3 linked regions of the Drosophila melanogaster genome follow. The protein of the gene in region 1 interacts with the protein of each later gene in a biochemical or structural test. Each region holds a gene or a part of one and is shown in the gene's direction. Other genes may lie near its edges. The genes, in order: ProtB, dhd and P32.

Region 1 (4,047 bases):
TTTTTATAGACAGAAAAGTAACTAACAAGAGTAGGGCAACGACAAAAAAAAAAAGACCAAATGGATGCTGTGCACTTAGACCTTAGGTATGGCTTTGCTGAATGGAACCAGTGACGTATGCACTTGACTTGCACATTTGCGGTGGCAGAAAGCCTCTGGAACTCAATTCGAGCCACATCGCCAGCCAAATCCAAAGAAAAATAGTTATTGTTAGAGCCACGAGGACAGCGCCAACGACGAAGGCAGTAAGTAGCTTTATTATGGGATTTTAAGTTATTACACCGGCAACCCGATGGCAAACGGGGCATTCGGGGAGCAGGAAAACAGCATCCAGCAGCGATGATAATCTGGGCGTCATTGCGAGCACTCACATATGCGACTCCTTGCACTTGATTCGAGGACTTAGCCCATGTGATGACGTGATGCCCTTTGGCCTATAGCCAAATTTGTCAACATGATTTGGATGAAAATCATTTCGTTTTCCGTCGCTCACGTTTTGCGACTTATTTATTGCTATTTGGGCTGCTGTGATTGATTGGATTTTTAAATTTAAAGCTGATTTTTATAAATAGGTACCACTTTCGACCATATAAAGTATATATATTCTTGATCAGGATCAACTGCCGAGTCGAACTGGACATGACTGTCTCAGGAACTGTAAAAGCTAGAAGGTTGAGATACATGCATACGTACATGCTCTAGAGACATAGACACATATATATATTTCATATTATTATTAGTCTTATGCATTTCTACTTAAAAACTTTTTGCCACGCCCACTCTAAAAATGTTTACCCTAAAATATCTTAATACAAAAATAATTGCCTTGTTTCGCTACCCGAATGTCCCCATCATTGCGAGCTAAATGTCAACCTCTTGACAGTTTGTTTCATAAGATGCGGACACTGATACTTTTATGTGTGCCCTTACTTTGACCCAGTTAATAATTCAGTAGCGTAGCATCAGGCTACAATGAGTGTCCTACCCGCCCCTGGGTACATCAGTTTGGGTGTCAGTATTTGACACTGAGGCTAATTTAATGGAAAATGAGAACGGAGAACTTGAAATTTGTATTTATCGCGACACGCAATGGAAGCGTTTTCGCCGCGAGGCGGAAGTAACAAAATATAGTACACAGGACCCGACTCATGTGGTTCATATTTTAGCTGACATATCTATTTATATGCAAATGCCACACCTCCTCAGTCACCTGGACTTTGTCTACTCTCCCTGTGTGCGTGCCAAAGTCAAAGCCGAGGAATTTCCCTTTGTTGTTTTGGCATTCCTGCAACAATAAATCACGGCACCTATGCTAAAGGCGCGAGGAACAGCGGGGTAAAAACTAATAAATCTAAGGCCAATTAATTGACTTAACTGGTGCTGGAAAAGGCAGAGACCAAAGATGAACCGACGGAAAAGGAAGCGGCAAAGCCAACGGCAGAGGCAAAGCCAAAGGCAAAGACTCCAAAGGGTCGCAATTTATGGCCGCACCATCAACTTGAGCCCGCACATAATAAATCATAACATTTTACAGATAATAGAAAACCTCACACATGTCCAAACAATCGGAATCCCCAAGACGTTTCGCCCAAAATTTCTTAGCCACACCGAGTTTGTTAGCCCGGCGGCTAGAAATTTTAATAAGCCGCATAGAGTTTGGCACGAGCAATAGTGGGTATAAAAATTGTTTCACATAATTTATGCCACCTATGAGGAAAACTTGCCACACTGCCACTGGCAAATGGAAACATGGGGGCGTAACCACCTAACAGAAGGATGTTTCCCAGGATGCGTATCCGCCGGCGTCGTTTCGATCAAATCTAACTTTATTCCATATAGTTGGCGTAGGTTTTGCCGTATACCCCTTATACCGGGCAGTCGGTTTTTTTAAACATTAGTTGTAACTTGGTACACAAACAGTTCACAAGCAAAATTTTTCCAAAAATTTATAGTCTTATTTTTATGATCTTCTTAAAAATTAGTTGTGACAAAAATTTGGTTTTTATAAAAAACTTCATAAGGGTAAGTGAAATAAAACGAATTACGATTTATTTTTACAAAATAACATACCAACAAATCAATTGTTTAAAACGAAGCGCATAATTACTTTCTATTGGTATGCTAATCAGTTTCGATAAACTTCATTTGAAAAAAAATTTTACTTTTATAATTCTCTTTTAAAGAAGCTTTTGTGAAATTCAGTTCTGTAAAATTCATTGAGATGCGATTAAAATAATGTCGACTGCAAGGTTATGGGGCGTGTTGCACCAAAGTGTTGCAAGTCAAAGCGGAAATTCGGCGGCCACGCCTTTTTGGCGGCCGGCGTGTTTGTCTCGATGTCGGATGGATGTGGCCCTCCTATCTGGCTTTAAACTAATGCCGGGGCAGTCTGTCGACAGGCAACCACCTTGCCACGCCCCACGCCTTGTAATGACGTTATTTACATGCTGCAACAACACTGGCAGCAAGCGCGGGCAATTAAATAAATCATAGCGGTTCACGCGGTTCGGCCGAAAGAAAGATCCAGTTAATCTAAAGAGAAACTCTTAGTTCTTTCTTTCGTTGTCAGAGTGAAATTGTAAATAAATTACACGTCCTGATTGATCAACTTTTTGTTCGTTACAAAACAACGTCGGGAATCAGATTGCAACTGTTATTAATTATGGGCTTTGTTGCAGTTGCAACCGCTTGTCTCCTGCTGTTCAGGTCTTCATCCTGGTCGGTAGGGCTTGGGCTTTACTTTTGGTTTGAGACTCGGATTGCTCACTGAATAAGTGACTTCTCTAGGACGCAACTCTGCGGCTTCTGGGGCCAACACTCACATGCGGGGGGAACATACTCCATCACAGTTGATGGCTGACATCGTACACAACAAATAAATCCCATATAAAACTTCCCTTTCCTTTTCTTTTCAGAGTTTGTAAAAATTTTCTACGATGAGTTCAAATAATGTAAATGAGTGCAAGAGCCTGTGGAATGGCATAATTTCCATTTCTGCAAAAGATGAAAGTCCTAAAGGTCTCACTGAAATGTGTAATCATCCAAAGAGGAGAGCACCGCCCAAATGTAAGCCAATGAAGTCCTGTGCAAAGCCGCGCCGAAAGGCAGCCTGTGCCAAGGCGACTCGGCCCAAGGTCAAGTGTGCACCGAGTCAGAAGTGCAGCAAGCAGGGACCTGTCACTAACAACGCCTATTTGAATTTCGTGCGTTTCTTCCGAAAGAAGCACTGTGACTTGAAGCCGCAGGAATTAATTGCAGAGGCCGCTAAAGCGTGGGCCGAGCTCCCGGAGCATAGAAAGGATAGATACCGCCGGATGGTACGTATTTTTTTTTTATATTATGAAGACTATTAATTTGTCCTTTCAGGCATGCAAGGTCACCACCAGTGAACGCCACAAGCGCCGACGGATTTGCAAGTAATACTGAGATAGGAAAAAGTCTGATGCAGTTAAGTCCAGGCATATATTTTCATTGATTTGATACCATTCGATGAATTTAGAAATAAAAAAAATTAAAAACCGGGTTTCATTTTTTTTACGATTCTAGGATGTTGGAATAGCGCGAATGGGTATTTGTGGTTGTTCCAGGTGCCCGGCGAAATTCAATTTATTATTCCACTATATGAGCTTTCTAATGAGCTGTGATCCAAAGAAATGAAACGGCTGAGTGGTAAATGGGCACGGCAATGGTGAATTCGAAGATATGGATAGGCTTCTGCTTCAAGCTTTTCCACAGTTCTCTGACCAGGCGTCTGTTGTGAGACAATCGAAATACCCAAAAATTGTTTCACATAATTTATGCCACCTATGAGGAAAACTTGCCACACTGCCACTGGCAAAGGGAAACATGGGGGCGTAACCACCTAACAGAAGGATGTTTCCCAGGATGCGTATCCGCCGGCGTCGTTTCGATCAAATCTAACTTTATTCCATATAGTTGGCGTAGGTTTTGCCGTATACCCCTTATACCGGGCAGTCGGTTTTTTTAAACATTAGTTGTAACTTGGTACACAAACAGTTCACAAGCAAAATTTTTCCAAAAGTCTTA
Region 2 (3,446 bases), on another chromosome or scaffold:
CCCCGGCTTCAAGGAGGTGCGTCTTGTGCCGAATCGTCACGACATCGCCTTTGTGGAGTTCACCACCGAGTTGCAGAGCAATGCCGCCAAGGAGGCGCTGCAGGGCTTCAAGATTACGCCGACGCACGCCATGAAGATAACGTTCGCCAAGAAGTGAACGCAACTCCAGTCGCCGGGCGTTCCAGCAACTCCAATAATAATTTAAACTATAGAATAAATCGATATAAACAAACAAACTACGAGTATTCCATATGCCCATATCCCTCCCATATCCCATTTCGCCCAAAGATCCTTAAAGGCAAAAGTATAGAATAGAATAGTTGATTGTTTATTGTGTAGATCTATTTGTTTGTCTGCAAACTTATAACTAACAGCTAGTAATGCGTATTATTTATGTCGGTCGATTGTACATATTTCCATTTAGTGTATAGTATATGGTGTATAGTAGTATATATATATATATATATAGCGTCCCTTTGCTCAGTCTGCATGGTGTATCAAGCTCGCTGCAAAATCAACATCAGTTTGGTGTGCGGGAGCGTGTGTTGAGTAAGTCCCACAAGTCCTCGGATTCCCAAAATGTTTGCTATATGTAGAATCGTTCAGCGACGTAGTCCTCCTCCGCCGTAACAACATCATCAGGCTTACAATTGTAATGCAATCATCATACTTTAGGCACCACAAATGATGAGTATTATGAGTGTGCATAATAAATCTGGGATAAGTGTGTGTATTATATATATATATATATATATATACATCGATAAGTGTGTGTGTGTGTGTGTGTGTGTGTCTATGTATATATATATATATATATCTATTGCTTTCTTCCGTTACGTCTGTTGAATGATGAGCTGCAGGAGAAGGAGCAGGGAATCGGTTATGTGACCACAATGCTTGCACTCCGGCAATCGTACTTACATACATATGTTGTCGTTATGTTCGGAGTGTAATGGTACTTTTGCCTAGTGCTCCAGAACGGCATTCTCGTCGTGGGCGGACACCTCATTAACGTTGTTGTTGTCGTTGTCGCTTTCACTGGACTCGGCGGTCAGATCGACAATGCATTCGCCATCGATATGGACGGCCTTAACGTCGGCCGCTTCATCGGTATAAACGCCGGCATGCTTCTCCATCAATTTGGCCAGCTTATCGGAATTGCAGCCAACGAAGAGCTCCAGCACATTGCCGCCCTTGATGAACACAAAAGTGGGCATGCTATTCACATTGTATTCGACCGTAATGTCCTCGTTCTCGTCCACGTTCACCTTGAGTACGACGACACGGTCCGAGTACTGCTGCGCCAGTTCGTCCAGCTTGGGTGCTATTATCTTGCAAGGTCCGCACCAGTCTGCATAAAAATCAATTACCACCAGCTTGTCCTCGGCGAGGATTAGCTGCTGGTCAAGATCGTCCTTGTTCCGCACTGGGTACACCATGACTTTAACTAAATTCCAAACGGATTGCAAATCGAAACGAAACAAAAAAAAAAAAAAATGGGAAGAGAAGAAAGAAAAAAAAAAGGAAAATGTTAGAAAATCTTGTTTTGGGTGTAAAATTCACTTGATTTGTTTTGTTACTTTTGAATTTTAATGGAGCTCTGCCCTCGCCGAGATATCAGCCCGAAATGAAAATTGTAGGGCGGCAGGCGTTCTTTTATACAGTTTTCGCCAAATATTTTGCGGCCTTCTTGGATTGAAAAAAAAGTGTTTTCAAATGTCAGCGGCGCGGTGTGTTGAGGTGAGTTTGGCTTCGAACCTACCACGGCTATGGCAACACTCGAGGAAAATATTAGTACTATGTCGTGTGACGCCATTATTTTGCCATAATTACGATAATAATATTCATATCGATATCGATAGACCTGCCGTGGTGAATAAGTATGTTCCCCACCCCCCAACACACTCGGTTGGCTTTCCCAACGACCTGGCAACCCTAACACGCCCGCCATTTTGCACTCTCCATGGGCCGCCATTTTGTTTAGCGGCCACGCGAGAATTCAGCATGCAAATTGGCGGGAATTCCACTCTACACACCGCCACTTGGAGACCCCTATAAAGTCGCCTACGCAGCCGCCATTTCAATCAGTTCACAATTTGCAGCGAAAGCGCCAACAGCCCCATCACGTCAAGTTCTTTAATTTAAAAAAAAGAAGAAAAACACTTTGCTAATCCTCGCGACATAAAAATGGCATCCGTACGCACCATGAACGACTATCACAAGCGCATCGAGGCGGCCGACGACAAGCTAATCGTGCTGGATTTCTATGCGACATGGTGTGGTCCCTGCAAGGAAATGGAGAGCACCGTCAAATCGCTGGCCAGAAAATACTCCAGCAAGGCGGTGGTGCTCAAGATCGATGTGGACAAATTCGAGGAGCTGACGGAGCGCTACAAGGTGCGCAGCATGCCAACGTTTGTCTTTTTGCGCCAAAATCGACGCTTGGCCTCCTTTGCCGGCGCCGACGAGCACAAGCTGACCAACATGATGGCCAAGCTGGTGAAGGCGTAAGCAGCAATCCTGCCCAGCAATTAGCAATCAGCAGCGCATCTTTTTTTTTTTACTTATTTAACTCATCTTTTAAACATGTTCGCCTCATTTGTGTTCGTTTATGTATTCGATGTTATGTGTATGCTCATGTGATGTTTAGCTTGTAAGCGCGAGATGTGGGTAGCAGGAGATGCAGTGCAGCCAACAGCAGTGACCAGATGATATATGCTATGCTACTACTACTACTTATATGCTATGATTTGTGGCGCGGAGGCGTGTCTGCGACACATAATCCCGCCCATTTAGCTTTAAGATTCAGGCACTAAGAAGCAATTCGATCAATAAATTATTGTAACCACTCTGGACATTTAAATGTTAACATGGAATCAGCTTTGTTTTTTTTTTGCCCACAGCATTTGGATTGTTAACCAAGTAGGCGCTGCGTGGTCATGTCATTTCGGGTTCCAGCAACATTTGGCATTTGCTAACCAAACTTGAGATCACACACACGAAAAACAAAAAATCCCAAACATTCCGCAGCACAAATTCAATCAAATCCAAAACGCACATTTCGGTCGCATCCAAATTGTACGGATTTCGTTAGTAAATAAAAATCAAATTTCGTGTAAATCCAATCCATAATCCGTGGTAGAGTAGAAACCACACCATCATGTCGTATCAGATCAAATCGACGCCCTACTTTCGTCGCATGTTCAACGAGAGCAAGAAGAATGGCCAACTGCAGCGTCTGCGTGATGAGTACGAGCGCATCCAGGAGTTCAACGATCGCACCATCGAAATGAAGATGCGACAGGTGCGATTAAAGCGGCTATTTCGCGAGATCGAGGTAATTAAGGTGGCTGGCGGGGCGGCCGGTGGCGCCAGCGGTGGCGGCACATCGACGGCATCATCGCCATCGAATGTTGACCAATCGTTTGGTTTAGCCGGCGGACGCG
Region 3 (3,515 bases), on another chromosome or scaffold:
TCGGATGCGTTTGAAACGCATCCGAAAGATAGGAAGCAGAGCTGTTGCGTCTTTTTTACTTAGCTTGTATTGTAATTTAATTTGATGTAAAATTTGCGTAAGCTTAGTTTCTTTGTCAAAATTTAGTTAAATTTATTGACAACGTAGTGTGCGGGCTGCCGCAGCCTGGAGCTAACCCGAAGCATTCCGCATTCCCCTGACGTCGACCTTTGCTGTCCAAAATAGGAGTGCCGGCTCTTGGCTACGCAGCCCGATTGTGTCGCCCCTTATGTGTACTCTTAATGTATAATCTTTAAGTGCAAATATTAGAGCTGTACAAATTTAATCACATATCATGCATACCGAAATCGAACCCGAAGCGGACCAGCCCCAATTATTTCTCGAAATTCAATCGAATATTCAACAAGTATTTTGTTAGACTGAATGATTAATTATTCTATATGAGTTTGTTTTGTGGAGAACTAACAGAATGCGACAGAGACTTTAAAGCTCTATGCTTTGTGGCTAACAAAAGCGTAAAATTGTATCTAACATAAGCTCTATAAGGAATTGAACATAGAATGTAATTAAAAGTACGAACTAGGCTAAGAAACGAAGAAAACTTCTATGAGGCTGTTTGATAAGAACTGACACCGCAGCCCCCACATCATCAGATGGAAAAACGCACAAGAAAGCGAAAATAAATGAACACTGCAACAACAGCAAGCCTTATAAATAGTATAAAATCGTGTCGAATCTAGGCCTTAACGCTAAACTTGTAAGCTTTGGATGGAAATAATGAGCTTGGTTGGCAATCAACGTAAATCAGCATTTTAATAATTTTATGTTTAATTTCTAAGCTGTTGTCCGTCCCACTAAAGAAGTTGCATAAATACAATGTACAATGGCAATTTTATTTTTAAAACGTGTAAAATGCAATTTTCATCGTAATTAATATATTTTTATACGTATATGTACGCCTAATGTCTAAATCTTAACATAAGAAAGTCTTAAAAATGGAAAATCCCGATAAAAGCTATATATAAAATATTTTTAAATCTTACAAAAAAAAACGTAATGTAATGATTTCTCATATTGTGATAGATTTTATTGAAATTTTAGAAAGATGAAATGATATGCCTTTTGGTTGAAAAACAATGATATATATGACGAACGAGTCTGATTGCATGCATGATAATATTGCGTAGGAATGGGTCTTCCACTCGGAGGATCAAGAACCAGAGAAAACCCTTCATGGTGTTTAGTTTTTATTACTGTGTATGTCCTTGTAATGTGTATATTGTTGTATACATCCGATAAGCAATTCGTAAATCTAATAAAGTCGTCATTTTTTTCATAACTCAATGTGGTCTTTTAATAGGTTCGGATCTATGAAACATTGAATTTTTACAGCAAATATGGTTTGGTTATATTTATTGAAATCAATCATTTTTCCAATAAAGGCTAATTTCAAAATTTGAATAGTTTACGATAAAGCCTTTCGCGCCGAAAAATGATCGATAACTTCTGATATGGCTCTACAATACATCAGCCTCGTGATTTTCTGAATAAGATTCAACGGTCACACCAGGCACTACACTTTTGGCGTGTTGCACATTTCAGTGTTTAATTAAAGTAAAAAGCCCAGGTCGCGGTTATATAACAAAATGAACAGCCTAAGGACAGCAACCATGCGATTTGCCGCTCTGGCCAGCTCCAGTGCCGGATCTCTCGGCAAGCGCGATTTCACCCGCAGCCTGTGGCACATGACCAAAAAGCCGGTGACAGCCGGAGGATCCGATCATGTAACCGTGTTGAATCTCCACAAGCCCAGCATTAATTGCACGTGCGGCTGCAACGTGCACACCAAATGTAAGTTAACTCAACAAATTCTTACATGGGCGGTCCATGCCGCCGGTTACATAACCTCAAACGTTGGGTGACGAAATGTTGACCAAAACACAGAAAATTAAACGCTTTGTTTATATCCAGGTGAGCGGGAACTGGTGGAGTTCCTCACCGAGGAGATAGTGGCCGAGCGCAAGGTTCAAAAGGGCAAGACGGTGCCAAGCACCCTGGATGGATTCGCCGTAAAACTGACCGGCGCCGATGTGGAGCTCACCAAGCAGACGGATAAGGAAAAGGTGGTGGTCAGCTTCAATGTGAACCATACGGTGGACAGCGAGGAGGAGCCCGAAATCAACCCCAATGCTGACAAGCCGGATCTCGGTGAAATGAGAAGCAAGCCCCAGTTCGAGGTGGACATCATAAAGGGCAACTCTACGCTGTCCTTTACCTGCAGCTTCCTTCAAGGCGAAGCTCAGGAGGGCGAGTACAGTGAGTACTTTGACAGAAATCGTTTTGATTCACCGATAACACAGGTTTTACCTTTCAGACGATGTCTTCTCCATTGATGAAATGGCCATCTTCGAGGGCGAGTGGAACGATAAGGTCTACGCCGTCGCAGGCGACGTGCTTGACGGTTACTTGTACGACTTGCTGATCAACTTGCTGGAGGAGAAGGGCATCAGTCAGGAGTTTGCCGAAAAACTGTCGGACCTAGCCACTGCCCATGAGCACACTTCCTACATTGGTCTGCTGGAAAAGCTCTCCAAATTCACTGCCGGTGGCAAGTGAATGTTCGTCCCACTTAATCTTAAAGCATAAAGTTGTGTAGGTTTTTAAGTTTCTATTGTCTGCTGTCGCAGTTTCATCACCTAAAACAGTTTTTATTAGTTGTGTTTTTGGTTTAACTGTGACAGTGAAACTTAGTTTTTAAGCCATAAAACATTCATACATGTTTCAGATAAAACTATAGAAACGGTTGCCAATAATTCACCCTTTTCGGCATCAGCTTCGCTTTGGTTTTTAACAAATACAACGTTAATTCCCTAGTTTTTTTTTTTGTTTATTTTCTTTCTATGGTTGCATCGATTTTTCGTAAAGATTTTCCTGTGGGTTGAGTTTCGTGATCATTTAGAACTGCCGGAAATATGGCCTGGGATCGTAGTCACTTGGTCGGTATCCTCCCCAGTCCTCGTGGTTCTTGCAGGCGGCGCAGATGAGGAGAGCGAGGAGCACGAGGATTGGCAGCAGTTGCATCTTGATTAACGGCAAGTTAACTTTAGATTGTGGTGCTGCAGCTTTTAATGCTCCTCTTTATAGGTGAGATTGCCTCACCTTATCGTTGAAATAGTGACCTTTCTCTTGGGGAAGTACTCCGATCTGTTTATTGGGCGATGGGATTTACCATTAATGTACGACCTATATGTGTTATTGTTTCACAATAAGCAGGATTATCAGCGTGGAGGCCATGTAATGTCATACTTTGTCATTAAGATGGATTTTATATATTTCGTTAAAAAGCTTTTTTTTATACGACCAATAATAAGAACTGCGACCATTACCTAATCATAGGCTTGTATATACTTCTAAGAAACTCAAAGACGGATTCTGTCTGAATATAACATTTTTTATAGTTCGCTACTTGAACTTATTTATAAAACATTCACTAAATAATTTACATAAGGATACGA

Evidence for each region.
Region 2: of the proteins of ProtB (region 1) and dhd, one has a biochemical effect on the other in vitro, tested with the Drosophila melanogaster proteins (one study listed by BioGRID).
Region 3: of the proteins of ProtB (region 1) and P32, one has a biochemical effect on the other in vitro, tested with the Drosophila melanogaster proteins (one study listed by BioGRID).

Annotation. Positions count from the first base shown.
Region 1 is NT_033779.5:14,881,577-14,885,623, reverse strand, and holds ProtB (protamine B), read left to right. Parts: upstream 1-1,902; 5' UTR 1,903-2,022; intron 2,023-2,915; 5' UTR 2,916-2,936; coding exon 2,937-3,317; intron 3,318-3,366; coding exon 3,367-3,420; 3' UTR 3,421-3,523; downstream 3,524-4,047.
Region 2 is NC_004354.4:5,310,273-5,313,718, forward strand, and holds dhd (deadhead), read left to right. Parts: upstream 1-1,898; 5' UTR 1,899-2,187; coding exon 2,188-2,511; 3' UTR 2,512-2,850; downstream 2,851-3,446. Other genes in the region: snf (sans fille), read left to right, coding at 1-157; TrxT (thioredoxin T), read right to left, coding at 966-1,439; CG4198 (uncharacterized protein), read left to right, coding at 3,161-3,446. UniProt on the Drosophila melanogaster protein: Participates in various redox reactions through the reversible oxidation of its active center dithiol to a disulfide and catalyzes dithiol-disulfide exchange reactions. As a reducing substrate of peroxiredoxin 1, thioredoxin 2 is preferred over thioredoxin 1.
Region 3 is NT_033778.4:17,670,666-17,674,180, reverse strand, and holds P32 (P32), read left to right. Parts: upstream 1-1,540; 5' UTR 1,541-1,646; coding exon 1,647-1,851; intron 1,852-1,971; coding exon 1,972-2,316; intron 2,317-2,374; coding exon 2,375-2,616; 3' UTR 2,617-2,872; downstream 2,873-3,515. Other genes in the region: IBIN (induced by infection), read right to left, coding at 2,956-3,081.